Linked DNA regions of Callithrix jacchus. The main gene of each other region encodes a partner of the protein of the gene in region 3 in a complex. Links are inferred from orthologs where the notes say so. Each region holds a gene or a part of one and is shown on either strand. Other genes may lie near its edges. The genes, in order: RBM15, CBLL1, VIRMA, METTL14, ZC3H13 and RBM15B.

What was found.
Region 1: VIRMA (region 3) and RBM15 share a complex: the UniProt entries of both Homo sapiens proteins name them as parts of the WMM complex. The link is inferred for Callithrix jacchus from reciprocal best matches to the Homo sapiens genes VIRMA and RBM15.
Region 2: VIRMA (region 3) and CBLL1 share a complex: the UniProt entries of both Homo sapiens proteins name them as parts of the WMM complex. The link is inferred for Callithrix jacchus from reciprocal best matches to the Homo sapiens genes VIRMA and CBLL1.
Region 4: VIRMA (region 3) and METTL14 share a complex: the UniProt entries of both Homo sapiens proteins name them as parts of the WMM complex. The link is inferred for Callithrix jacchus from reciprocal best matches to the Homo sapiens genes VIRMA and METTL14.
Region 5: the proteins of VIRMA (region 3) and ZC3H13 are in contact, whole or in part, in a cryo-EM structure (PDB 7VF2), measured with the Homo sapiens proteins. The link is inferred for Callithrix jacchus from reciprocal best matches to the Homo sapiens genes VIRMA and ZC3H13. Residues at the interface, in NP_056311.2 of Homo sapiens: Leu521, Ser529, Tyr531, Gln532, Leu535, Glu536, Ile538, Leu539, Leu540, Asp541, Val544, Val547, Thr548, Ser551, Leu554, Gln555, His558, Glu561, Val562, Ser564, Glu565, Lys567, Gly570, Asp571, Ala574, Glu575, Thr577, Ser578, Glu621, Glu625; in NP_001317494.1 of Homo sapiens: Pro1492, Leu1493, Asp1494, Val1495, Ile1496, Asp1497, Val1498, Asp1499, Trp1500, Ser1501, Gly1502, His1507, Leu1518, Lys1520, Phe1521, Pro1523, Val1526, Met1527, Arg1529, Val1530, Gly1531, Ile1532, Ser1533, Lys1535, Leu1536, Ala1537, Gly1538, Leu1541, Lys1544, Val1545.
Region 6: VIRMA (region 3) and RBM15B share a complex: the UniProt entries of both Homo sapiens proteins name them as parts of the WMM complex. The link is inferred for Callithrix jacchus from reciprocal best matches to the Homo sapiens genes VIRMA and RBM15B.

What each region holds. Positions count from the first base shown.
Region 1 is NC_133508.1:148,190,155-148,194,884, reverse strand, and holds the start of RBM15 (RNA-binding protein 15), read right to left. Parts: upstream 3,111-4,730; 5' UTR 2,018-3,110; coding exon 1-2,017. UniProt on the Homo sapiens protein: RNA-binding protein that acts as a key regulator of N6-methyladenosine (m6A) methylation of RNAs, thereby regulating different processes, such as hematopoietic cell homeostasis, alternative splicing of mRNAs and X chromosome inactivation mediated by Xist RNA.
Region 2 is NC_133512.1:78,201,433-78,206,061, forward strand, and holds the start of CBLL1 (E3 ubiquitin-protein ligase Hakai), read left to right. Parts: upstream 1-1,614; 5' UTR 1,615-1,790; coding exon 1,791-1,839; intron 1,840-2,491; exon of another isoform or gene 2,492-2,853; coding exon of another isoform or gene 2,854-2,866; intron 2,867-4,629. UniProt on the Homo sapiens protein: E3 ubiquitin-protein ligase that mediates ubiquitination of several tyrosine-phosphorylated Src substrates, including CDH1, CTTN and DOK1. Targets CDH1 for endocytosis and degradation.
Region 3 is NC_133517.1:32,643,305-32,648,096, reverse strand, and holds the start of VIRMA (protein virilizer homolog), read right to left. Parts: upstream 3,353-4,792; 5' UTR 3,327-3,352; coding exon 3,264-3,326; intron 1-3,263. UniProt on the Homo sapiens protein: Associated component of the WMM complex, a complex that mediates N6-methyladenosine (m6A) methylation of RNAs, a modification that plays a role in the efficiency of mRNA splicing and RNA processing.
Region 4 is NC_133504.1:78,847,407-78,852,314, forward strand, and holds the start of METTL14 (N(6)-adenosine-methyltransferase non-catalytic subunit METTL14), read right to left. Parts: upstream 3,353-4,908; 5' UTR 3,219-3,352; coding exon 3,153-3,218; exon of another isoform or gene 3,133-3,152; intron 3,069-3,132; exon of another isoform or gene 1,765-3,068; coding exon of another isoform or gene 1,711-1,764; intron 1-1,710. UniProt on the Homo sapiens protein: The METTL3-METTL14 heterodimer forms a N6-methyltransferase complex that methylates adenosine residues at the N(6) position of some mRNAs and regulates the circadian clock, differentiation of embryonic stem cells and cortical neurogenesis.
Region 5 is NC_133506.1:165,240,677-165,244,848, forward strand, and holds part of ZC3H13 (zinc finger CCCH domain-containing protein 13), read right to left. Parts: intron 3,079-4,172; exon of another isoform or gene 3,076-3,078; 5' UTR 3,070-3,075; coding exon 2,953-3,069; intron 2,656-2,952; coding exon 2,546-2,655; intron 1-2,545. UniProt on the Homo sapiens protein: Associated component of the WMM complex, a complex that mediates N6-methyladenosine (m6A) methylation of RNAs, a modification that plays a role in the efficiency of mRNA splicing and RNA processing.
Region 6 is NC_133516.1:33,966,995-33,971,734, reverse strand, and holds the start of RBM15B (putative RNA-binding protein 15B), read right to left. Parts: upstream 2,995-4,740; 5' UTR 2,892-2,994; coding exon 222-2,891; 3' UTR 1-221. UniProt on the Homo sapiens protein: RNA-binding protein that acts as a key regulator of N6-methyladenosine (m6A) methylation of RNAs, thereby regulating different processes, such as alternative splicing of mRNAs and X chromosome inactivation mediated by Xist RNA.

The DNA.
Region 1 (4,730 bases), on a different chromosome or scaffold from region 3:
GATCAGGAGAAGGAGCGCAGTGACGCTTTCGTGGGCGGTCACTTTCAGGAGACCTATCCAGATGTCGTCCTCCACTCTCCTCAGGCAGCCTTCGCTTCCTAGGCTGGTCTCTGCTGCTAGGCAGATCTCGATCACCTCTGTCCCGGTCCAAGGACCAACCATCTCGCCTGCGATCCAGGCTATCCAGTGGCTCATAAGCAGGCACAGAAGTAACTGCAGTCCGAGTGCTGCGTTCCCTGACTGGGGGTGGGGGTGGCACCCAATCAGAGTCAGGATAAAGGTCCCTATCACGATCTCTGTACAGTAAGGGTGGTGTCCTATCCCGAGCACCCCTCAAAGGGTCAGGTGCCCGATGTCCAAAGGCATCTGTCACCAGCTCATAATGAGTCAAGGGCAGAGGCTGCAGATATTGCTGCTGGTAACGATGCTCAGTGTCGGCAAAGTCTACTCTAAGGCGTCGATCTGGGCCACCAAGTGGGAAGCCCCGCATATGGGTCCAAGCAGCATGTGCTGCATCCAGGCTTTCATACTGGATATATGCCCAACTATCACCTTTTCGGTAATCTATGGTGCGTATGGTGCCAAATCGATCAAACTCTCGTGCCAGGGCAGCAAGAGGAACCCAAGGTCCCAGGCCTCCCACCCAGAGGCGGGTGGTGGGTGTAGCTTTACCATAACCAATTTTGATAGGATTCCGAATTATAATTTTGCCAGACATTGCTAATTTGGCCCGGTGAGACATATCTAGGTTCTCAAATTTGAGAAAGCCATAAGTACTAGTCTGGCCGCGAGAAGGCCTCTTGATATCTACTTCCGTGATGACTCCAAAGCGATCAAACGCCCTTCTTAAATCACTCTCGGTGACAGTGATGTCTAGGTTGCCCAAGAAAAGCGTCCGGTTGGCTCGCTGATCATCCTCGGGTGAAATCTCATCCACTTCTCTGAAAGGAGCAGCACCTGCTCCAGCTCCCACCCTTGGCTCAAGACTGTATGCTGGGCGCACTCTCTCGTAGAAGGGGTAGTCTCTCTCTCTCTCCAGCTCTCGAGGCAATGGTGGCGGAGGTGGAGGGGGCAAGCGGCCAAGAGCCAACTGCTGCAGCCGGTAGTCTCTGTATCCCAAAGCTGCGCCACCAGGGGAAAGGGATCTCTGGCCTCCACCCCCTCCAGGAGGGTGCCGGTGACCACCTACAGAGGCCCCGACCACGCTGGCTGATGGAGGGTAAGTATCTTTGTCTAAAGGGGAGCGGCTGCGGCGCCGGCTCACATACACAGCTTCTATCTTCAGAGGCCGGTCATACAGCACCAGGCGGCCTCTGGCATGCTTGGCCGCCCGCGCGTCCTCCGGCCGCCGGAAGTTCACAAAGGCTACCCGCTCATCCCCGCTGCCAGAACCCGACAGATGACTGATTTTGACACTTACATCACCGAAGCGTTTGAACTCATGAAACAGGCCGTCCTCCACCGCTTCGTCACTCAGCTGGGACCCCAACTCGCTTATCTTCAGAGTCTTGTATTCCCCGCCGTCCCCACTGCCGGGAGCTGAGGAGGCGGCCCCAGAGGAACGTGACTCCCCGCCTCCACCCCGGGAGCTGCTGCGCGACTCGCCCCCGCCTGAGGAATTTTTGGTGCTCGGGGAGCTATAACTATGCAAGCGGCTACTGGAGCTGCCCCCACCGGTGTCATACTCGCGGCTGCCACCTCGGCTGCTGGACTTGTCTAGGTGCAGACTCCGCCGCGACCCGCCGCCGCTATCTGTCTTTCCGCTGCTGCTCCCGTTGCTGCCACCAGAGCCACCTAACTTCTTGCTCCGCTCCCCGCGGGAAGTCGAGTCCTCACCACCACGGGAGCGTTTGGCCTTGACTGGCGAGCGCTCTTTCCCCTTCATTGTTGCGGGTCGTCGGAGGTCGTCTCCGCTGAGGTGATTAACCCGCCACCCCGCGCTCGTTTCACACAGCGGAACCGCACGCCGCCATCTTGGACTCCGCCGCGGCCCAGAATCCCGCCCCGCAGTCCTCATTGGCCAATTGGCTCTCTCTTCTACAGTCTCATTGGAAAAATTATTTGTCTATCTTTACATCTCCCCGCGCTCCAGGAAGGCGCCCGCCCAACCACTGTTATTGGGTTTCCAAAGCCCTAGTCAGAGCATCTCATTGGTTATATTTGTTGTCTATCTTAACGGTTCCTCGCGCCAGGCTGTAGCTCCGCCCCTAGCGCTCTACGGTCATGTGACCCAAAGTCTGGAGGTCTTCATTGGACGAAAAGTCTGCCCTGTAACGGTACTTCTTACTCGGTGAAAGCAGCAACCCCACCTCCTCATCCCTTTCATTGGCTTATAAACCCGTCCTTTAAACCACTATTTAGGAGGTCGGGCCATCCGCTTCAGCGTTTTTTCCAGAGGCAGCCTCACAGCGATATCGCGAGAGAGGGTGAGCTCCCTCTTTCGACCCCCTTTTCCCAACTCCTCCGGCGGCTAAAAGAAGTTTAAATCTGATTGGATGTCCGCAAGGAAGTTGATAAGCTGAAATAACTGTCCATCACTTGCTTAAAGGGGTAGGCCCGTATAAAGGAGGAGGCTGACTGAAGGTGAAAGACTAGAACACGTGCTTACTGTGCGACGTCACTTAGATGTCGCGAGAGGGTGGCTGTGAGCCAGCCCCGCCTCCCCGCCTTTTCGGCGTCCTCCCACAAACATTTGTTCAGTTCCGTGAGGTACTTAGCTGTGCTTCGGCCGTTGGAGTTCGAAACGTTCAGGCTCCCCGCCATCCTACCTGCGCCGGCCCAGGAGCGTGGCAGGCTCTCCGGCTGTCGGGGCCCTCCAGTCCCTCAGGAAGCCGTCTTGGGACGCCTAGAGGACACCATCTTAGGTCGCTGTGGCCGCTGCGTGAAAAGCCGGGGGGAGCCCCGCCCCCGCGCGCGGGAGAGTCCCGCCCGCGGTCACCCGGGCCCGCTGAGCTAGGAGTTCAAGGTTCCTGCAGCCCCAGGTCACGCCGCTGCCCCGGGGCGGTGCTGCCACAAGGAACTTCAAGAACTTCAAGCTGCGCGGCGAAGAAGCACTCCTCGCTTGGGGGCCCTGCTTTCCGGGGCGCTCCCCGTCCCCTCCCAAGTACTCTGGGTAGCAGAGGGGAGTGACCGTCGCTCCCCGCCTCTTGGCCCGCAGGCGGAGCCGGAACTGTCGGGACAGCGTGGACGTGTCTCTGGGCGGCCTGTTTTATTTTGCGAATCTGTGTGGATTTTTTAATTCTGTTGTCCCGTAAAATACCTATGTTTGTTTTTAACATCTAATGCTTCTCCCTGGAAAGTCATCAAGCGAAATTTAGGTTCCATGCAGATAATGTAACTTGGTTTCCCCGCTGTAACTTCTGGTATCCCCCACACTCCGCTTATTGTATTAGAAGCCAGCAGCGCAGGCACCTTGCGGCCGCTCCAGATCCACCTCGTTTGGCTCCTCCAACCGTCCGCTTTACAACTCTCTTTTCCGTAGAGCATTACTGTGGCGGACAGAGCACCTGTGGGAGGTGCAGGAGATGCCGAGCTTAGTGGGGTACGGCCTCCGCCCCAGCGCTCGCCGGCTGCTGGAGGGGCGCAGCGCTGAGGTCACCGCAGCCGTTAGACTGTCTGCAGCCCTCCCAGGTATCCGCCAGGGCGGAGGTTATGAGGATTCTTACATTGATCGCGTCCTCAACCTATTTCCCAAGATCTAATCTATGGTAGAGGGTGTGAGGTGTTTTTAAACATGACATTTTTCAAGGTAACAATAATGTCCCAAAAGCCGAAACCTAAACTTGAAAACGGTGTTAAGATTAGGAACTGTGGGCCGGGCGCGGTGGCTCAAGCCTGTAATCCCAGCACTTTGGGAGGCCGAGGCGGGTGGATCACGAGGTCAAGATACCGAGACCATCCTGGTCAACGTGGTGAAACCCCGTCTCTACTAAAAATACAAAAAATTAGCTGGGCATGGTGGCGCGTGCCTGTAATCCCAGCTACTCAGGAGGCTTGAGGCAGGAGAATTGCCTGAACCCAGGAGGCGGAGGTTGCGGTGAGCCGAGATCGCGCCATTGCACACTCCAGCCTGGGTAACAAGAGCGAAACTCCGTCTCAAAAAAAAAAAAAAAAAAAAAAAGGAACTGTAACCTAAATTTAGCGGCCGAGCCATCCTTTTGGTAAGTAATCCTGAGGAATGTGAAGGGGCAGGCCTTTTATCCCTTTATTAGATCAAAGAAATTTGAAGGAAGAAGCTCAATGGTAAAGCAAGAAAGTCTACGATATTGTAATGTATAAACATATTCATTGTATTAAAATAGAAAATAAAACCACAAGCCATAAAATAATGTGTATAACATGCTATCATTTGTGGTTTTAAAAATTACATTTGTGAGTATGTACATTTTAAAAATATCATTGCTTGGAAACTTCCGTGACAAATATATGGGAAAGTGTTACTAGGATCGCCCTGAGGCTGGGTGTGACGGTCTGGAATAGGAAGGAGACTTCACTTTTCTTTGTAGAAATCTTTTGTTTTATACAAAAAGCACGCTATTACTCCTTCAGTTTAAAAAATAATTATTTTTAATTTTCCTTAAATTATTTTTATGGAAAAAGTTTAAAATAAAGAATACTATAAAGAATTCCATATACCCAACACCCTATTTCAACAGTTGTCAAATCATGTCAGTCTTGTTTCATCTGCATCACACTTCCCACTCTTCCTTTCTCTATTGTTTTCTCCCAGA
Region 2 (4,629 bases), on a different chromosome or scaffold from region 3:
TTTTTTAAAGGGACAGATTAAAAACAGCAGAGAGCATTGCATATAAAAAGGGTAAGTATAGTTTCATGACACTTAAATATATGCTTAGGTGTTGTGAGTTTATGTGTTGAGCTATGATATAAAATGTATGTCTAACAGTGAGAAACATTTATTTAACAGCAACAATTTACAAACCAAATAGACCAGGTGTGTTTGTCCTTACTTGGTACTGAGGAGTCTGTAATAGGGTATTGGGGAAAACAAGTTCTCTGATAGCCCTCTTAGCTTTCTCATAACATATACAGTAACTATGTAAATGGAAGTCTATCAAAACATCTTGGAGCCCACTACCTTATAATTCATAGGTAGTAGCTAAAAAGGTGCACCTCAGTGCTTCAGACTATTCGTTACAGTAAGTTTTCACTTTTGTAAACCTTAGGTCAGTACCGAGCTATATAAATAAATATTAATGATGACTCTTCATAAAGAAGTTGTGAATAGTTACAGCACACCGGTCGCTGAAACTACTAATAAAATGTAAGTAAAGAGATTAATTTATCACACTGCTACTGCATTGGTAATTAAAGGCAACCACAATTAAGGGGGAAATGAATACAGACCACAGATGCTAAAGCCATGCATGAAAGTAAGAGATGTCAAATCAAATCCAACAAATGTTTAACATTTTATCAGATCTAAAATAAGTAAATCTTCTTTCAGTAAATTTTCATAACGACGCATCATAAAATACCCACAAAACTTGACTTAAAAATTATATAAAATACATTTTGAAAGCTTTTTAATTCAAATTATTTAAATATTAGCATCGGCAAACACAGTATTATTGTGAACATGGATTTGCATGAATCAGAAGTTTAGCTGAAAAAGTATGACAGAACAAAAAAAAAAATCAAAGCCAGTGGTGGTGATGAGCATCTGTAGTCCCAGCTACCGGAGGCTGAGGCATAAGGATCCCTTGAGTCCAGGAGTTCAAGGATGCAGTGAACTATGATTGTGCTATTGTACTCGTTTCTGCCGCCTCATCTCTAAAAAAAATTTTCTTAATATATGCAAAAAAGGTACTTTCTAGAGGAAAACTTTTTAAAATACTCCAAATTGGTGAAAAATGCCTGACTATATCAACTCTGTATTTAGAAATTAGGGAGGTATAGGGAAAAGGTTAGGCAAACTCCAATGCCCAAAAAAATAATTTCAGAAACTGAAAGCATCTTGAAAACCACTTAGCAATATAGAACTTTACATTTTAACAAAAGCAGGGATAATTTTGATTCACAAAGGTCCTTCGTTGTGAATGTACCTAAAAACTTGTTTATAAAGCTGCCTATATGCAGTGGAAAAGTCTTTTACAAGATCTCAGGAAAATAACCACTAAATGCATGGTGCACTTATATCGCACTGATCATAACAGTATGACTCACAGCTAATACCGTGCAAATACAAAGATATAACACATTGGTACTCATACTTTATTTGCAATTCAGTACCATGAAAACATTTCTCTAAGAGGTCAATATAATATTTTATTAATCTAGGAACTCTGGCACTGAAAGCGTGAATAACCCAAGGTGATGATGTCGTCACCAAGGGACGACAAGAATAGAACCCAAATCCCTTGACTCCCCAAGCTTGTGTTTTCCATTAATTGTGCTCCTTTCTATTCATCCACGAGCATCAAGCGTGAAAGGCTGGAGAAAGGACTAAATACAAAAAAGCCAAGTCCGCGAGGTGGAGACTGCACTGAAGGTCCTAGGAATCGCCCCTTGGCACTTTCCTTGTTTTGGCTGAGGAAGATGAAAGCAGCAGCAACCACAAACCCCTGGGACCAAGAACTGGAACTAGGTACTGCCTATTGTGGTATCTCTCTTCCTCATTTTAGGCCTTTCCTTTTTAACCTCTCCTTCTGGCCAAGCCTTGGCGCTCTCTTCCCTTCCCTCGGCTTCCATCCGCTCCCCTTAGCTCCACTCTGCACATTCCTGCTAGGTGTCCCCTTAAGAGGAGGCAGCTGCGCCGCCCAGGTTCTCCATCCTCCATCCGGCACAGGCGCCCACTCCTCGGGTGTTCGAGGGGTTAGTAGCGTCACAAGCGCTCTCCCTAGAAAGTGAGTGGCAGTCAAGCATTATGAATGTATTTCAACTGTAAAGAGACAAGTTGGGAACAGGGGCATATACCAAGACGGCTCTGCGTGAGTCTAGGTAGCTCGTCACAACAAAGCAAAACTTAAGACAATAAATGTTGCGACTTTCCTTCTAGCTGCGAGCTTCACAGCTCAGCCATCCCCTGAGCAATCTCCCACTGGAGGACGCCTTCCGGAGCGCCTGTGTTTACACTTTTCCTACACTCAGTGGAGGCAACAAGCGCTCCCGGACCACGGGGGATTCCAAACCGTTACTCCGCCCGCCGGGGTGGGGCCAGCACAACGGCCGAGCCTGCGCAGCCGGCAGCCGGCTTCGCGGCCCCCGCGCACTACAAGTCCCAAAAGGCAGCTCTCCGCGGGGGCGGGCAGCCGCCTTAGCTGCCGCGGGCTCATTTCTACCACTGCTCTCCCTCGCCCTGGTCCTCGCTGGTGCCCTTTTCACAGTTAAAGGCTACTTTTCCTTGAAGCACATGAGGAGAAGCCTTAGCGACCTCGCCACCGAACTTCGCGCGCTCGCTTTTTCTGCCTCCGCACCAACTATGCCTGAGTCCCTCACAGGAGTTGGGTAGTGGAGGCGAGAGAAGGAAGTCTTTGTAGACCAAAGCTGGGACAATCCGCTCGGACTTCCGCCTCCCGGCCTCCGGAAGGCAGTGCGCAGGCGCGGGCTGCGACTCCGGCGCGGTTGACTTCCGTTCCCACTGTGCTGTGCGAGCCGAATCATGGATCACACTGGTAAGGAGGCGGAGGCAGTGGGGGTCCCGGTTCCATGCCCCCTTGGCCGGCCTGGGACTGGTCGCCCAACAGGCAAAAGGGATTACGCTCGCCCCACAACACTTGAGTGTGGCAGTGAGAAGAAATCTCACAGTTGCCTTCCCGTGCCCGGGAGGGGCCTGCTGCTTCCTGGCCTACCCTCTGGTGCGGTACCTACCTCCTTGGTGCCGGCAACAGCCGCTCCTCTGTTTCTGCTGAGCTCCGAGCCCGGACCGGTGGGCGGCGTAGGCCTTTGGGAAGGGAGAGCGCCGGCTCTGTTTTATTCAGCCCAGCTGCTCTGCCCTGCATTATGGGGACTCGCGGGTAGACTGCGGTCTCGGAGTCGCGGAATCCGCTGGGAGTGGACGGGCTAGAGTGGGTTGGAGACTTCCTGCTGTCTCAGTCAGCTTTGGGCGGGTGCTGCAGTTGTAACCTCCTGTCGTCTCTCCTGTCCTTCATGGACTAGAGAGGTGAAAGAAAGGAGTGGGATATAGTTTTTGGAATCAAACTTGGTGGAGCTTTTCTGCCTAAACCAAAAGCATGCCCCGCGCTTCGGCTGTGGTCCTTACTCATCATTTGAGGGTATTTACAAAGAGGAGCTTAAAATAAAGACATTTTCATCCTTTTCTCCAAGTAAGAGTAGCTCCACCCTTTGTTATGTGTTTTCTGGCTTTTGCTTCTTTCTGGTTCTTGGATGGTGAATGTATGCTATTGGAATTAACAAGTGCCCCATAGAGTTATAGCGACCATATCACAAATAGAGAAAAAGTATTTTTCGTAAGTATTGAGTTGTCCTCACTCATCATATATCTATTATATAATTAGGTGTGTATGTTTGTTTATGCCAGATACATACAGATATGTATAGGTCGGGAGATGGAGGATGGAATGGTAAACAAGACGGACCAAGTCCCTGATAGACCTTCTATTTTATGGAAGAACACAGACAATAAGTTCTTTTTTATTGTTTGTTTGCAGATCATAAGTGTTTTGAAGAAAATAAACGGGTGTTTTGGAGAGATTCATAGGAAGAAATTTCAGAGGGTTGTTAGGAAAGGTCTTTGTGGCAGGGTAACATATAAGCTAAGATCCGATGGATGAGAAAATCCAGTCCTGGGAAAAAAGCAGGAGGAAGAGCATTTCCAGCAAGTGCATAGGTGCTGAGTAGGAAGATGTAGCGAAGTTAGCTGCAGCCTAGTAATAGCCAGAGAGTTGAGTCCTGAAGTGAGATTGGAAAGGAGGGCAGCCGTCACATTCAGGTCATTGAAAACCATGGTAAACGGTTGAATTTTATTTTAAGTGAATATGAAGGCATTGAACAGAAGTAGAGGAAGAACACAGTCTCTTTAAACAATGTAGTAGGCTGTTCTGTGGAGAATGGTGTAAGAGAGGGAGGTAAGAATGTTGGAAGATAGGTGATTGCAGTAGACCGGAAGGGAAGGTTGGTTTGGTGGAAATGAAGGAGAACGGGCAGCTTCAGTAAATACTTGGGTAGTGTTTGGAGGAATGTGAGAGAAAGGAGAAATGCCTACGTTTTTGGTTTGAGCAGCTAGGTAGTGTCCCCATTATTGAGTTGAGGATAACTCGGGGGAGAAAACAGTCCTTTTTTTGTAGAAGTGAGACAGGAAAATTTGGGAATAAGTGTTTAGTCTTGGACTATTTAGTGTGAGACAGCTGTTGAAACACAGGAGAGGAGATGTCAAGTGGAGATGAAGGGTTAAGAACTGCACTGAAAATACGTATTT
Region 3 (4,792 bases):
CACTCTTACCGTCATTAGTCCCACTAGTTTCTCCTGTCTCTAAATCTAGACATCCATCATTTTTAATTACCCTATCTCCCTCACACAATCAGCTGCCATCCTGTCAATTCTATACTTGAAATCTGTATACATCCAAAACTGTATAAATCCTCTCCTCCGTAGTTCCACTGGGACATAGCATGGCAGTCCTTCAGAACCAGAAAAATGTGTGACAGTGGATCTTAATCTAGCTATGCTATTTTAGTAAAGATACCTAATCTCTCAGTTTCCGTATCTATAAAATGTATTTGACTACCTTTGAAAACTCAGTCGGGCACTGCAGTGGCTCATGCCTGTAATCTTAGCACTTTGGGAGGCTGAGGTGGGAGGATCACTTGAGCTCAGAAATTCCAGAATAGCCTGGACAACATGGCAAAACTCCGTCTCTACAAAAAAATACAAAAATGAGCCAGGCATGGTGGCACACAATTGTAGTCCCAGCTACTCAGGAGGCTGAGATGGAAAGATCAATTGAGCCCTGGTGAGAGAAACTGCAGTGAGCCTGTGACTACACACACCACTACACTCCAGCTTGGGTGACAAAACATGATCTAGTCTAAAAAAAAAAAAAAACAGATGGAAGGACCAGAGATGATTTACTTAAGTTGTCAAAGCACTGTGTCTGGTACAAATTAAGTATTCAATAAACGTGGAGAAGCAATGATTACTGTCCATTTGTTAACTCAGGTTTTCATAACATCTCACTTTTTCTCCCTGATTTTGTCACCTCACCCCTATTTTCTCTGAACCATTTTAAGTATTATTGATGAAGTAAACTACCTAATGTATCTTACTAATTGCATAATTTGCCTGCTCAAAAACTACCCATTTCATACAAAATAAAGTTCATAATTCTTCATTGAGCATTCAAGGAGCTCCATGATGTGCCTTTGAACTAATTGCCTTGGGTGCCACTTCATACTGCTACTTTAAGCATATCCTAACAGATAACTACTCCAGTAGAATGCCCTCCTTTCCTAACTACAACCGGGAAATATTACCCCTTTCACCAAAGCCCAAGTTCATAAGCCAAACACCTTTATGAAATCTTTCCTGATACACTCAGATGAAAAGTTATTTATCTCTGCCTCTTCTGAAATCATGTATCCTTTATTTATACCCACAAAGACAGCAAATTCTAATATGTCAGATACTGATGGGCATTTTGTAAACAAAGATGATGAACCCCAAGGAATTCACACTGCTTCTTTATGTGATCATCACATTCTAACTCAAATCACAATTTTGTGGATCTAATATCCAATACTGAGCTATAACTTCTTGAAAACAAACATTTCAACATTTCATATCACCCACAAACCCCTACTGCCTCCTTCAAGACTTGATCTAAATGTGATCTCTACTAAGCCTTCCCCATCACCCCAAAAGAAGGCATTTACCATCTGCCTTATCCTCTCAAGGTACTTGATGTTTACCTAGGAATGAATAAAAGAATAGATTAAATATGTGATAAACCAATGAATGCCAATTTTCCCAAACTAGAAAAGTACTAAACTAATTCATCATATGCTTCTTTCTCTTTTTTTCTTTTTCTCTTTCTTTCGAGACAGGGTCTCATTCTGTTGCTCAGGCTGGAGCGCGGTGGTATAATCTTAGCTCACTGCAGCCTTGACCTCCCAGGTTCAAGCAGTCCTCCCACTTCAGCCTCCCGAGTCGCTGGGACAATAGAAGCAAGCCACCACAGCTAGTTAATTTTCTTTCGTAGAGATGCGGTTCCACTATGTTGCCCAGGCTGGTCTCAAACCCCTGGACTCAAGCAGTCCTGCTTCAGCCTCCCAAAGTGCTGAATTACAGGCATGACCCACTGTGCCAGGCTCTTTCGGTTTTACCTGTTCTCTGTTTCTATACCCATGATATTGGGTTCTCTGTTTCTATACCCATCAGTATTGTTCTGATACTGCCTGCACTGTGGGTTTTCTAAATCTTGGCTGGAATGTCAGAGAGGTATAGTCATTAAATAAATAGTGCTAAGTGACCCACATGAAATGTGAGACCGTGAATTAATCATCAGTAAGAAATGCTAACTCCAAGTTCTCCAACCTTTGACTTTTACAGACCTATAAACCGTTAGTTCAGTTAGATCACAGATGTCAAGTTTTTATTTTGCCAAGTAAAGCATTACGATACAACCACTACCCACTATCAACACTATCTCACAAAAGAATGAACATTTTAAACATTTTCCATTTAAATATTTACTGGGTACCTATATTGCTAACACTGTACGAGGCACTGGAGATACAGCTGAGAAAAAGAGAAATTATACCCATCCTCAAAAAGCTTGATACAAGAACACACTTGATAAAAATAGAAGGAAAAAAAATCTCCAAAGAAAGTTCTCTAATCTGATTAAACTTACATTAAGACAGAGAAATGTGAAGTTTTTTTTTTTTTTTTTTCAATTTCTCCGTGGACTTCATTCAAGTTCACTTTTGATCTGCTCTCATCAATCTTAAGTTAACCAGCTATGTTTAATTTACATATTGCAGGGCCAATTGTACATTCAAAGGTGCTCGAGCAATTTTGTACAGAAACATTACTCCACAACATTCCATCCCCGACCTCAAAAAACATTATCTGATGATGAGTTTGACTATAATTCTCTCAACTCTCCCCTCTTCGCAGTACTCTCCGTGAATGCGTCTCATTCCTAATGTGTGAAATCTCTCCACGAGACAAGTATTATAGTTTCAGGTCAAAGTGGAGAGCACCGTAATCCTAAACCGAATGAGTGTCGCAACTGGGGAACATAACTCCTGACAGAAAAGGAGCCAAAGAGAAAGGATTTAGAAACATCGTGATTAGGAAACCACGCAGCAACGCAAGCTGCTCGGAGTCCGGCACTGTCGAACATTTCTGTCAAATCCAAGACCCCCCGCCACAAACGCCACGAGAGGTAAACCTTAGAACCCCGATCCTTCTCAAGGCCCAAACCTGACAGAAAAAATAAAAAATAAAGCCATGCAAGCAGAGAAGCCAATTCGACCAAAGACACCGAGGGCCCAAGTTAAAGCAAGGAAATGAAGGGGCTGCTGCAGCTCTCCGTCAGAAGCAATGCTCACACCGCTCGCTGGAGGGTGTCTGTGTGTGAGAGAGAAATTAAAGAAGAAATCTGCAGAAGGAAAAGTCGAGGACGCCTAACGGTTTTTTTGTAAAGGTCCAAAATAGAGAAGCAGGGTCGGAATCAAGTCGCCAAGCCTTACCTCAGCGCTCGGGTGTTTAAAAGTATCTAAAAATAGCAGCTCCATCGCCGAGTCCACCGCCATGTTTGCCGCGGGCGGGGAACAGGGAGAGAACTTCCGGGGCAGCGCTCCAGTCTCAGCTATAGCGGCCCTGAAGAGGGAAAAACCGCGGCACTTCCGGCGACCACAGAACCAGCGCCGCAATCGTCACCCTATCCCAACGCATCTTGTTGCCCGAAGTTGCCGGCCCCGCCTTTTCCAGCGCGGCGGTGGGCGCCCCCAGAAAGCAGAATGGGGCGGAGAGAAGTGACAGGAGACTACAGGGTCTCCAGTGGTTCAAACCCTGTCGTTCCGCCGCGTTACGGAGCCACAGCGGCCCCTGGTGGCGAAGTGCGGTGCCGGGGTTTTGGAGAGGGCGGAGGAGGAGGAGGGAAAGCTGCCAACTTTGGATACCAACCCCGCACACTCACCGAAGAGGGTGTCCCACTTTTTCCAGCGCTGGGAGCAAAAAGGTACAGTGAGCGAGGTTGAAAAATAAGACATTGATTTAAATGGAAGAAAAGAAACTTGTTTCAGCAAAGGAAGAAATTCTTTGTTTTCTTATCTGTAAAATGTGAAAAATCGTATCTAACCCACAGGCTGATTGTGAGGAGTAATTGAAATAAAATTCGAGGAACTGTATAATGTGAAGTACCAGGAACAATAAAAAAGGAGGCGGAATGAAAAGTAAGCCTGTCGGGTGTTGATGAGCTTTGGAACAACAAGATAAACACAGCGGGTTTGGTAGTCTAAATGGCACAAACCCTTAGCAGAGCAACTAGGAAATAGCCTGTAAAATTGCACGTGCCTACCCCTCTTCTAGGAAAATTCTTGCGCACGTATCTACAATTACAAAAATATTCATGGCAAACTTTATAAATTGCAAAAGAGGAGGAAACATAGGTGCCATTGACAGAAGTCATAAGTAAACAGTGGCGTATTTATATAATAGAATATAGCAAGTAGGAAGAATAAACTAGTGCTGTATGTACCAGCATGAAAAATCAAAAAAGCAAGGTTGCCGGGCGCGTTGGCTCACGCCTATCTATAATCCCAGCACTTAGGAGGATGAGGCATGAGGATCGCTGAAGCCCAGGAGTTGGAGAACTGCCTGGGCAGTATAGCAAGACCCTGTTCTTCACAAAAATGAAATAAAAAAAAAGAGAGGCAAAAATCAAAACAAAAAAAGTTTAACTCCCCTCATTGCAACAACCCTCCACCTTTAAAAAAAAAAATGGGTTAAGCAAACAGGTTTAGAAATATGTAGTGAAGCCTGCTGTAGTGGCATGTTCCTGCGGTCCCAGCTTCTCTGGAAGCTGAGACAGGGGATCTCCTAAGCCCAGGAGTTGAAGGCCAGTGGGGACACCCATCTCTTAGAAAAGAAAAAAAATTTTTAAATAGTGTAAAATAACATTTATATGGTTAAAAAGTGCAAAAGAATATAAATATTTAGGAGTGTACATAATGTCATGAAATTATAAAGACATGCATTGGAATGATAACTAAAATTT
Region 4 (4,908 bases), on a different chromosome or scaffold from region 3:
TTTCAAGCACATGGGCCCAGGAGCTCAAGGTTGGAGTGAGCTATGATCACATAACTACTCCAGCCTGGGTGACTGATCAAGACCCTATCTCTAAATATACATATTTAAGCACAAGCAGGGCATGAAGAAATCTGTATTAAATAGTCCATTTACCTCAGGAAAAGGGAGGAAGCATACTAAAATATCAGACTAGCAAGTCACCAGCCTTGATCTTAAACAACTATCCACTAATCTTGTAGTCCACCCACACAAAATGACTCCCCTCAGATTCCCTCAATGATATATCTCTTCCAATATAGCAACTCTTCCTGAAATTTCAACTCCTCCATAAACTCTTCCTTACTCCTTTTCTCCTTAATCAGGAGACAATAGACCTACTTCCTACAGTTGGAATGCTATCTAACTTTCTTCCTGTAACTGATTCCTTTCTTTTCCTATCTCAGATGAGTACACATTATTTACTCAGAGATTTTTTTCCTTCCCTGTATGGATAGGCAGTCCCCTTCCATTATTCTCCTTTTTACCTTGTTTCCTTATCAATTTCATAGCACTTAATACAACTTTCAATTACTTATCTTTTACTTTTATTTTCTATTTATATTGTTTATTTAGTAGTCACAACTTTCAATTATTTTATTTGCATACTTCAATTATTTTATCAGTTTTTGTTCACTTCTCCCCAATAAAATGTAAAATCCCTATAGGAAGACCCTGCCTATATGTTCAGCAACTACTGTAACACTTGACTAACAGTATATGTTAATCAATATCTGCTGAACAAATGAAATTTCCTACTAGAGTCTCAATTAGGATACAATGTATCACAGGAGAAATGTATTAAATCATAATTCTGCTTACATGTTTAATTGTCTTCTCACAGGCCAACATTTTTTTTTTGTTATGGTGGCACTAAACATGTTATCTGAATAATCATAACAATTTGGTATCTTTTGAAATTAATAAATGTGAACAAATAATGATTAAGATAAGGCTAAGTAGAGTGCAACTAATTCATAAAACAAAACTACAAGCTGAAATAAAAGGCAGGTATAAATTGCTGGTGATAGCATCCAATTGCCAACATCATGGTCTGGGCCTACCTAATGCATCCAATGTCTTAATCCAGCAGACCAAAGCAAATTATACACACTGAGTTGTGCTCTACGCTATTTCATCAATCAACAAACATTTATTAAAAGCTTATTTTGTGCAGGAAGCAATGCTGGGATAGGAGATTAACCCAACAGGAGTCAAATGCAAAGACTTTGCACCCAAACAGTCGGTATTCTGTTTGACAATTAACAAACGATATATAGTAGTAGACTCAACAATAAGGACAATGAAAGCTCAAAGCGTGCACCTAAGCCAAGGTGATCGGGACAGATTTCACCACTATGTTGTAAGCTGTGGCATGGAAGCTACAAGGAATTCAGAATGGAAGGAGAACAATTTCAAACATCATAAAGGCTATATCGCACAAAGTGTGTTCTGGAGAGTAATAAACCAGTCTGCCATGTTCATCATAAACAGAAAAGCAAGTGAAAGAGAGGCTGAAGTTAATTGGTAAAGAGGATGAGGATGTGGGTCATTGATTATATTGGGCATCCTTACTAAAGTAGAATGGTTCATGTCCAACTAGAAGACCAGCAGACAGCTAGATGCACTAATAAAGATAGGGCCTAAGTTAAAAATTGCAGCTTGCAAACTTACCAGCTTTTTGGCTTTAGGCATGTAACTTAAATTCTTTGAGCTTAATTTCTTCATCTATAAAATGCTGATAGCATCTGATATGTAGGATGGAAAATAATGTATGTAAAAATCTTAAAGTCTGACACATAATTAGAAGAGACTTTAAAAATGGCAACCATCATTAAACTTTATGCACTTTTGAAGCTCTTTAAGGATAGGGACTACCTATTACTTGTAGTTCATTTGCCAAAGACTACTAGAACCCCTTGCAATTTGTTGAGTGTAAAACACCCAATAATTGTCCTATGAATGCATCCTGAGTCAAATAGAAGTCTGAATTCCATATTAAGGAGTGAAACATCTTCTGTGGTAGCAACAAAGAGCTACTGAACTTTTAAGAAGTTGGGGAAAAGAAGACTTAGGATACTTGATTTGTCCAAAATGATAATGCCAGAGGGACAAGGAACAAATGTGATTCCAAGTTCCCACTGTTTTAGCAGTATACCATAAATCTGTTCATCAGATCATAAATAGGTTTCAGAATTCCATTTACTAAAAACAAGTTTCATTACTGAAAAATAACAGCAAGATGACCAATTACAGTCCATGAGCATTTCTTCTATCACTTTTACTGATCTGAATGGTAGACTGGAAAACATAGCCTCGATTTTAAGTAGAACTGTGCACAATCTGTATTTTCTTCACGTATACCCTACTGATCGGCAAATGTTAACTTACTCATACACAAGAAGCAGTGAAGGACAATGGTTCAGAAGACAAGCTTTGGGGAGACAAACCTAGGTTCTATTTCCCAGCCGAGAAGTGAGCGACCAGGAGTAAAATTCCTTAACCTATGGAGCCTATTTTATTATTTGTTAAGTTTAGGAAACACTACCTGTTTCAAGAGATTATTGTGACTAACAGAGAGTAAGATTTCAAATATTAACTGTGGGTGTGACAAGGATACTATACATAAGATGCGGAATCTAAAATTTACACTCAGGCTACTTCCAGTGCAGTCTTTTAGAAAAACGTCAAATACTGCAAAAGTATTTCACAATGAAACCACGATCTCAAGAATTTGGTGCTGACGACGAGGAAAAGTAAAAAAGAGATGATCATTTAAATAGTGAAGAAAAATGCAGGGGATAACATGCCATTCATCCTGGCGTGAAAGCGTAGATAAGCCTTGCCAGACACTCGGTGGGCGTTCCACAGATTCGAAGCCAATCTTAGCATTCGGTTTAGCATAACAAAGACCGCGGAAGGAAATGGAAAAACATTCGGTGCACTGGAAAAGTTGAGAACAAGAAAGGGAGAACCAGGGATCAGGATCGCAGGACCAGAAAGACCTTGACAGCGGCAGGTAGAGAGGGGACAGAAAAAGGCGGGGTGTGGAACTAGGAGGCGACCGCGCACTCGCATTCGCGATCCCTCCCGCAGGGACCACCAGGGCCGCGGACCTGCTGCGCGAGGAGCTGTCGCCGTAACTTCTGCCGCTCCCGGATCTCCTGCAATCGGCTATCCATGTTCCAACTGCTGTTTTTCACTACCCCGAATATTTGTCAATCGCCAGTGAACCCTTGTCCAACTTTTCTTCCGAGTCTGTGGAACACAGTATTCACCTGGAGTTTAAGAACAGAGTAACCTCCATGCTTTCCTCAGCAGGTACTTCCGGCGCGGCAGGAATTGGCTCGCTTGGCCCGGAAGTCCCGCCTCCTCCGTACGCTCGCGATCTGACGCCACTATGAAGGGACACAAAGGGATCTGTGACTCTGCAGGGGTATTCGGGCCTCTAGGCCGCCGCGGGATGGGGTGGTCTGAGCTAGTCGGAAGGAGGATAGTTACTGACCTCTCCTTTATCTCTCCTTCCCACGGTATTAGGCTCCTTGGTGTATCACACTGTTTCCGAAGTGTTGATTCTCTTTTCAATTGATTACACAGATGACAATTCCTGACGTTTAAAACATTGCCAGACACCTTTAATTTTTTTGTTTGTTTTAACTTAGAACACAAACTTAAGCCAGATTGCCCAGGATTGAACCTTGGTCTCTCACTTCCTAGCCGAGCGGCCTTGGCTAGTTAACCACCTTCCTGAGCCTGAGTCTTCTCATCTGTGAACTGGGAGTAGTAAGTGTCTACCTCACAGAGCTGTGATTGAAAGGATAAACAGAACGTGGCACATGAGCTATTTCCGTTTAGGGAAATGAGTGTGTGATAGTAAAGTGTGTCTTGGGTTATGTCCTAGGAGTCAGAAGCTAAGTGACTCCTTGCCACCGAAGTGTCTGGCAAGGATCTACGCTTTCACGCCAGGATGAGTGCCATGTTATCCCCTACATTTCTCTTCACTATTTAAATGATCATCTCTTTTTTACTTTTCCTCGTCGTCAGCACCAAATTCTTGAGATCGTGGTTTCATTGTGAAATACTTTTGCAGTATTTGACGTTTTTCTAAAGACTGCACTGGAAGTAGCCTGAGTGTAAATTTTAGATTCCACATCACTCCTTTTTGTGCTTGTACATTTGTCTTAACTGAAAATAACCCAAGGATAAGGAAACATAGCTTCCTGAAATTACTCGGAAGTAATTTCCGGGATGGAGGATGAAGGGTGAGGGCTAGGAGGTGGTGATTCTCTCCTCAAAGGAAGGTAGCAAAGGCCAAAGTCTTATTTGAGTTATTACGATTATTATTCACCACATTTGCCGTCTTATTTCAAACTTACAGCGGCGGAAGTGGACTAAAACATAATGTTGCCTCAAGTTTAATTGGAAGTCGTGGTAAGTACTTACCAAAATTAGTTAACATGTCTGTTCTTTGAGAGTGGATTTAATTTTCAAAAATAATATTAAATCATCCAGATTAAAACCAGTTGAGTCAGGCTGGGCCAAAAGCGGCCAAGAACTAGTTTCCATCCACTAGTCCTTGCCCACTTTTATAGAAATAATTATAATGTATTTCTCAAGAACTAGGTCTGAAAGGCAAGTTTGAACAAGTAGTTCTAAATTCCTTGAGTAATGTCAGCACTATTTGGGTGCTGTAAAATATTAATGTCCATATGAGTTAAAATGTATTTCTTTAAAAATCAGTTGTATTACCTGCCAATCATTTAAGTTGAATACTGATTTAAATTTTACCAATGATAAGAATAGGCATTTATTCCTTTAAATGTCTGTTGATACTGATTTTATATGGCAAGCACTGTGATAAACCCTACGGTC
Region 5 (4,172 bases), on a different chromosome or scaffold from region 3:
CAAATCTCAATATACTTTTTGTGACCCTGACTCCTAAATTTCTGAAAAATAATTTCACCTTAAATATGATATGCAAAACATAAGCAACACTTACAGTTTTTCTTCCATTAACAATAAAAACGTATATGTTAAAATTCCATGAAGTGGCAGGTACTGGTGACGTGAATAAGGAATTACATGTGAACTGAGAACAAGGAATTAATAGCTTGACTTGTTTTCCTATTAATCACATGAATATATTAGTCACATGTGGAAGCCAAACATAATAATACTAACACAGTTTTAAACTATAAAGTTGCAAAATTAATCTAGAGGTAGCAGCATTATCAAATATACATGCAAGATATACGAAGACATCACAAGAAACAAGTTTCTTATATATACATGCATGTGGTTGGATGCAAAGTCAACAACTGAGAAAATACTTTATATAACTTCAGAATCAAAGCAAATATAGGAGCTTGATAATTTTTCTGAAATTTTAATTTATTTCAGAATAAAGACAGAAAAGGAGTCAAAGCAAAATTTTACAACAGTGATTTTCAAAATCTGTTGCAAATATTTTTTAATTGAAAGAAAAACGCATATATGTACTCAGCAGTGGTAAGGCTTTGTTATTTATGCTAGGAATTTGACAGCATATGGCTATGCAATTATTCTATCAGCTGGAAAAAACAGAGGAGAGACAGAAAACACCTTGCCTTTAAAGGCTATTTCTAGAACAGCTTTAAAAGAAGGCAAAAGAAGTTAAAAAATGCTCTGTTCCTCTTTGACTACAAAAAAGTACTGTCTATAAAAAAGATATGAACAAATCATATAAATATCCACATCCATTTCAAGCAGCCACTGATCAATCAAATCAATTCCTTGATTTTATGAATATAAATCATAAGGTTAGTGAATAAATAATTTGAGTTAATTCACTTTAAAGGATCTCATTAAAGTTTACATGCACATTTAAAAGATGTATATTAAATGTTTTAACAGTTAAAGCTAAACTTGAAACTGGAACGTCTTTTTAAGAACCAGTACTTAAGTGCTTTAAATTATGATTATGATGTACATGCAAATCCTGTGTGTGCTGGTTTGTTTTATATTACATAATAAAACAGTTTATTATGAACTTGTTTCTATCCTAAACAGCACCCAACAGAGTGAGTGTTCTACACACAGCAAATTCTCAGCAAATTACTTAAGTCTTGTATATAAGCATATAAGTGAGCATTTTGTAAAATACATTACTTTTCTTCTCATCTTTAACTCACATTATGAAATATATTTTTCTCCTTATAAAAAAAAATGCACGAATACAAAAGAAGTTATCAGATGGAAAAACACACACAAAATGGCAAAATTATAATAAATATCCTTTATTCTAAGTCTAGCAATGACATTATTTTTTCCCATTATAGACAAATTTCTCTGACCATTTCTCTGAAAATTATTTTTTAAAAATTGAGTCAGCTTATAAATTTCAAAGATGAATTTTAAAAATATTAAAACTGTAGCATTAATGTAAGCAAAACATTAAAATTATGGAAATAGTTTCACCATGTAAGTATCCACATGTATATATACATATACAATAATAACACTAATTATCCCACATTAACAGAAGTGACAAATGACAATCTAAATACAAATAAAACAGTATTCAGAATCACAAATAAACTAAAATATACAATGGTTATGTGAAAAGGAAGTTGGCTAATGTTGAGGGTTTGAATTTTAAATTCTACTAAATAAAATCTACCCATACACTACCCCCCTCAAAATCACCCAACTAATAAAAAGAAAAAAAAAAAAATCTCCAGTTACTAATGTTCAGTTTTTACACAGTTTCTATGCTATAGCCAAAACAGTCAGCATAACCAATTTTGGAACTAGGTAAATTATTTGTTTACCAATCAAGTTAAAACTGTTTTTGTGACTAATGTTATATATATTACATCTTTAAACACCATAAAAGAATTATCATGAGGGACCAAAAGAAAAATAAAAGGTCTTTATAAAGCAAGTTTAATTTAGCCAAGCCTTTACTAAAGGCAAAATGATGTTTGAAAGATGGAGTACATTTATCCACATATAAATATGTATTTTCATTAACATTAACACTCTGTGACAAGGTACAGAATTTGTACAAAATTCAAATTCAGAACATCTTAAAATTATACCCAATTTTAATTTTCCTATTTTAAGATTTTAAAATAGTCTAGCCTCACTAAAAAGAAATTCAGACACCATGAAATTCTGCTGTCTCAGGCATCAATTTAATACATAATTGGGGGAAAAAAGTAATACACATATTACAAAAAGATCTATTGTCATAACAAGTAAATACTGAATAAGTTAATTTTAAAGCAAACAATTTATTAATCTTGAAAATAAAAACAAAAAGATCTTGTCAAACTTTGACTACTGGAAAGACTACTACCAATAAGGAAAATCTGACCAAATGTACGGTTGTATTTCAGATTTTTATACTCAATAAATGACAAAAGCCATCTTCTAATAGTACATAAACAATTCAGAGTTTTCAGTTTACCTTCTATAATTGCTGCTATAACCTTTACCGCGAGGTGAAGGGCCATGTATGAATCTACATGTGTTTCCATAGAGGCAGCTGCCAGTCTTCAGCCAGTTACGGCACTGTGTCTAAGAGACAGATATTACCATGTAAATTTCATATTGAGTTCTGGGGAAAAAAATGCTAGTGGGACAAAATTAAAACAAATGCTATCAAAATTCCAGCTAACCTGTGAGATATTACTCCCCAAATAATAAAAACTTCAGGAAAAAAATATGGAAAACCCATAAACCTTACCGCCTTTGAAAAAATTACTGAACCAACTTTCCTACAATAAACCAACCGGTTCACCTTTATGATACAAATGAGCATTTCAGTAACAGAATTCTAAGAGAACCCCTGTGACTATCCTAGTGACAACTCACCTCTGGTGTACTGCCAGTGCTGGGTCCAAGCCTCTCAAACACACTGGGTCTTCGGGATGTGCTATCAGATATGGTCTTGGTATTTTCCACTGTGACCTTCCTTCTAATTTTTGACATTTTGTACTACTTTAACCAAAAAAGAAAGAGGCAAAACTGTAAAATTCTTCAGTTTTAAATAACTGAGCCCACAACTTACAAGTAGATAAAACTATAGGTAACAGTGTAAAATTACACGGCATTTTCCTTGGGAGATAAAAAAGGCATAGGAGAGGTCACAGGTAAACAGAGATAAGGTATCTTCTAACACATGTCTCACTGGTGAATTTATAACAGCTGTGAAATCTGTTGGCTAGAATTGTACCTCTTCTGCAGAGTGAACAAATATGATTCTACTCACACAGTGAAGTTTTCATGGTACAATCAACCTCAGAAGACATAGCACAAAATCTTTACTTTATAAAAGTTACTTACAAAAATTGCTTCAAAATTTAGTAACTCTAACCTCTAAGAAAAAGTTGTTAACCATCAACTGGTTAAATGAAGAAGAGTTACGCTAAAGAAAATTGGAAAACAAAACTGGGTGAAAATTTTGATAGCAGAAATCATACTTCATAAGTTTAAGTGACAATAGTAGTTATGTTCCAAAAATCAGGTTGGAGAAAAATGAATGATATTTTAATATTTTCTTTGCCTTACAGAGATCAAAGCAATTTGATCAAGCTTATTTATTTTCCAGTAACACAAAAAGAAAACCCAATGTCGCTAAAGACAACTTTCAAAACAGGACAGATTGTAGAACTAGAAAAAGTCAAGGTGTTTCTATAATCCATACTACACTGACATAAAATTCAAAGGTGTTAAAAGTAATTAACAGACTATTTTACCATTATTAGTAATAAAAAAATAGACAAATTATAAAAATATTTTTATTTTATTTCACCTTTAAGCTCTGTTGGATTTAATGTAAACATAGAAATATTTTTTAAAAAGTAAATATAACATTCAAAAACTGAAACCATAATAAAAATCTAATCCAGTGACACAATTGGGTAACTGAACTAGAGATACAAGTATCAGATGATGATACTATAATATGTATTAGAAAATAATACTGAATTCTAGATGAAGATACAACCCAGAGCATACGCTACCATGGGAAGAGGGCAGAAACTGCCTCATAAGGGAAAGGAAAGAAAAGCACCATTGTATATCTTGCTTTA
Region 6 (4,740 bases), on a different chromosome or scaffold from region 3:
GAAATCAACAACCGGAGTCCCTTCTCATTGTTTAAAAAAAAAAAAATCCCCCAAACCTAAGAACTTAGTTTTGGTGGCGGAAAGGACTTTGATCCCCACCCAAATGAACCAAAATAACCCAGGAGAGAATTCAAACCAAACTGGTAGGGTAGAGAGGGGTTCAGATTTTAAAATAACTGCTTTTGTGACACAAACATGACGCTGGAAAAAACAGGCTTGGGCTAGGCAGTGTCTCTGACAATGACTATCACCATGTGTTCTTCTTCTAGCTTGCCCAATGTTCTTAGTGCTGACTGGAGGTACTGCTGGGAAAACTCGCAGGGCGGAAAGGCATAGAGCATGCCTGTGCCATCTCTGCCCTTGGACCCCCCCACTGGCAGGCTGATCACCCCTGCAGCCTGCTTCTGTTTCAAGTAGGAGACCAGGTTCCTGAGAAGTCGCCTCTGCAGACCTGGCTCCACTGTGGGCATCCCCTCAGTGCCAAGCCCACTGGGGGTTGCCTGGGTGGCTAAAAGGACTGCATAGCCGTTGGGGCTCCCCTGCTTGATGCGTCGTGTGACCTCGTCGAGCTTGGGCTGGTCCAGTCGAAGGCGCTGGGCGATCTTCAGCTGGGTCAGCTTGCTCCCAGAAGTGTGGTCTTTGAGGAGACTGCTGATCACTCCCTGATCCCCCTCTAGGATGTGCATAGATGTGGGGAAGCAGCTGTTTTTCAACACCAAAAGCCCATTCCAACCCAGCTGTAATGTCTGAGCGTAATCTGAAAGATTCTTCAGCTTTTTGGTCTCATGTTTTGGCTCTTCAAGAGGCTTGGGCTCAGCCTCCGTGGTCCGGTGATTGCGCTCGCTGTCTCTTGCCTTCTTCCCATGGGAAGAGTCTGCAGCCTCGTGGTGGTGGTGATGGTGGCCCCGTTCCTCGGCCCCATGTCTGCTGTTGCTGAGGGAGTTGCTGCTGGACTCCTTGGTCCCTTCACTGGAGTGGTTCTCCTTGCGGCTGCGCTCAGGGGTGCGGTCCGAGCCCCGCTCTGACTGCTGCCCACTGCCCTTGGTCCTGCTCCGTTCCTCATACGGGGAGTGAGTTGTCCTCCCACGGTCACTGGAAAGGCTCCTCCGTTTCCGCCTCTCTTCCCAGGGCTTGGGTAAACCACGGTCCCCATCTCCCCCCCAACGCTCACCACTCCGGCTGCGCACTGAGCGACTGTAGCCCTCAAGGCTATTTCGGCGGTCGGAGCTTTTACTGGGGCTGGTCCAGTCCCCTTCCAAAAAGGTCCGGTCTCGGTCTGAGTACAAGAGGTGTGGGGGCGTCCTGTCCCGCACCAGGTCGGCGTCCAAGTTGCGGTGCCGGGTATATCCATCTGTTAGCAGCTCATAATGCACAGGGAGCGGTGAGGGCTGGTACTGCTGGGGGTACCGTGTCTCCTCTGCTTTGGCAAAATCCACGCGGAGCCTGCGGTCTGGTCCACCCAAGGGAAAGCCCCTCATTTTAGCACAGGCGGCCTGGGCTGCGTCCAAGCTCTCGTACTGGATATAGGCAAAGCTATCTCCTTTGACATGATCAATGGTCCGAATGCTCCCAAAGCGGTCAAACTCCCGGGCCAGAGCCGCCAGTGAGGTGTTAGGTCCCAGGCCGCCCACCCAGAGACGAGTGGTAGGGTTGGCCTTGCCATAACCTATCTTAATGGGGTTGCGACCAATCACTCGGCCTGACATGGCCACCTTAGCCCTATGGGCCATGTCCAGGTTCTGGAACTTGAGAAAGGCATAGGCACCACCCTGGCCACGGGCAGGCCTCTTGATAACCACCTCCTCGATGATGCCGTATTTCTCAAAGGCGCGTCGCAGCTCCACCTCAGATACGCTGTGGTCCAGGTTCCCGATGAAGAGGTTTCTCGTGGCCCGCTGGTCGTCCTCGGGCATCAGGTCCTCCTCGCACACAGCCGGGTAGCCATAGGGGCGCCCACGATCGTCATACAGCCCGTAGTAGTCCAGGGCCCGCTCGCGGGACAGTCCCACGGCGGCGGCGGCAGCATCCAGGGCGAAGGCTGCGGCGGCGTGGCGGGCGCGGGGCTCTCGCAGGGGCGGGGCAGCGACGGGGGACAGCGAGCGCTGCTTGTACTGGTAGCCTCCGTGCAGCGGCAGGTAGCCGAGCGGGTCGGCGGGAGCGGGCGGTCCTGGGGGAGGCGTGGAAGCGGCGGCGCTGCTGCTGCTGCTTCGCCGGCTGCTCCCGCCGCCGCCGCGCAGGTACACGGGCTCTACCTTAAGCGGGCGATCGTAGAGCAGCAGCTGGCGGGCCAGGGCGTGCTGGCGGGCCTCGCGCGCGTCCTGTGGATGCCGAAAGTTCACGTAGGCCACACGGCCCAGCTCAGGCGTGTGCGACAGGCGGAGGCTGATCTCGCCAAAGCGCTTGAACTGGTGGAAGAGCCGGTCCTCGAGGTGCTCGGCGGGCAGCGCTGGGCTCAGGCTGCTGATGAGGAGCGTCTTGTACTCAGGCGCAGCCGCGGAAGAGCCGGGACCCGTGGGCTCGGCCCCAGGCGGCGGCGGCGGCGGCGGCAGCGGAGACGTGCGGGGCGACAAGCCGGAGGCGCCCGGATCCCCCGAGGCCTTGCCGCCGCGTCCCCCGCCGCCAGCGCCGGAGCTCGAGGAGCGGCCACTGCTCGCACGGTGATTAGCGTCCCCGGCGCCGCGGCTGTCGCGATGCCCGCCCCCGCCGCTTCCGCTGCCGCGGGGTTTGTCGCGGGCCCGCGCTGGAACCGGGTGCTTGGCGCCGCCAGAGGCCTTGTGCGCCGCCCGCCGCCCGCCCGCCTCCGCCTCCCGTTCGCGTTCCCGCGGACGCTTGGCCGACGATGACGAGCCGCGCCCGCTCGGGCTAGAGTCTCGCTCGCTCTGCCGCTTCATGGCGCTGGCGCGGCGGGCGGGCGGCCCGTAGGTTTCTCACAGCGGCGGCGGCGGCGGCGGCGGCGGCCGAGGAGGCAGCGCCCCCGGCGCCGCCATCTTGGACAAAAGGACTCGGCGCGGCGGCGGCGGCGGGGCGGGGCGGGAGCGGCGCCGAGGGGCCTGGCATTGCGTTATCAAGCTGCGCCGACCGTGCCACGTGACTCTGTGGCGGGCGGAGCGAGACACGCGTCGGGCTGCGTCATCGTGCTGCATCGCCCAGTGCCACGTGACCCCCGTGAGCGCCGGGTGAGTGGGCCTGGGCCTCGCGCTCTAGCGCCACCGCGCGGCCCACATGGGCGATGCTTGAGGCTACGCGAAGTGAAGGGAACCCTGAGAGGTACGCAGGACGACCTAACGCTTTGTGCTCCCAGGCGTGCTTTGCCGCTCTGGGTTCAGCTATCTCCTCCCGCAGGAGCTGGAGCCCGCGCTGACTGGAACAGGAAGGAGTGGCGGCTTCCGTGGGCTGTCGGGGTCTGGGGCATTGACCCAGTCAGTGGTGTGTATGTAGTACCCCTCAGCCCCAGGACTAGGCTTTAGCAAACTCCCGTATCACCCTCCTTGGCATCTTCTGCCTGGGATCTGGGGTAACTGCCCCAAGGACAAATGCATGCCCATCTCTAGGCCCTGTCTAGGACCCAAGGCCCACATTCTGGGCATCTTCCACATGTAAGTTCACCTGCTGCAGTCCCCAAAAAGGCCATGAGGACCATGGCTGTGCATGTAGGTAATAACCAAAAGCAGTGACAAGCCTGCAGTTGAAGTTGATGGAGTTGGAATAGACTCTTTAACGCCACTCTTTGGTCCCACCCTCTTCTTTGGCATCTGGGCAGAGAGCAGGCTGGAAAAGTAGAACCACAAGAGCCAAGGATGAAGAGGTCAAATGCATAGATAGTAATGACAGTTAACACAGCTTGCCACACTGACCCCTCACTGGCCAGTACCCTCCTGTTCACCTTCAGGAGGACCTCTTCTCTCCATGTGAGGTGAAGGAAAGGGTGCCCGAGCCCACTGAGGGAGCTTTCATTCATGACAGTTGCTAGAGCCATGGTAGAACCTGATCCAATTTCTGGCACAGAATCCTCGCGATGGGGAAGAGCACACTAAGTCTTCCCCTCTTCCCACAGTGAGAAAGCAGCTCAGGCAGGTGCAGGGGGAAAGGTCTTGGAAGAAAGCAACAAGCTCCATGGCAGCCTGTAAGGCCTCCTACAGGCAAGCTGAGCTTAGGAGACACAGTGAAGCGCTCTGAAGCAAGAGCAGTTCCTTGGAAAGCATTGGGTCTTAGTCCTTCCTTTCAGGTGGTGTCTACAGGCATCTTCACTGAGCCAAGGCTCACACCAACACCTGGGGTTCCTAAGCACCAATGCCACAGAGAGCGGCTTCAGAAGCAGACTCCAGAAAAGACCTGGACCTCAACAATTAATTTAGGGTAAACAAAGGCAAAAAGCAGCTTCCCACCCCCTCTTTTTTACCAGTCTTGTAAAAACTGGAACAGACATCAGAAGTTTGGGATGGACACTAGACCATGAGCCTGAAAGAGCAAGTAGGTGGCCAGGCCAACAGCATCTTTAGAGATGTCAGCACTGACATGCAGTGATCGAAGCCATCCTTGCAAGAAACCCCACTTCACAAACCCTGTCTTGCTTGTACTGAGCCCCAATGTAAGGCCCTCTAGGAGGAGTGTATCCCAGACTCACTCCTCCTAGAGTGTGTGGCCTCCAGCTCTCCTCCGTTAAGGTAGGCACTCTATCAAGGGGCAGGTTATCAAGCCCAGCCCTGCCTCAGGCTCCTTTCTGCTGAGGTGCTTGCTGCC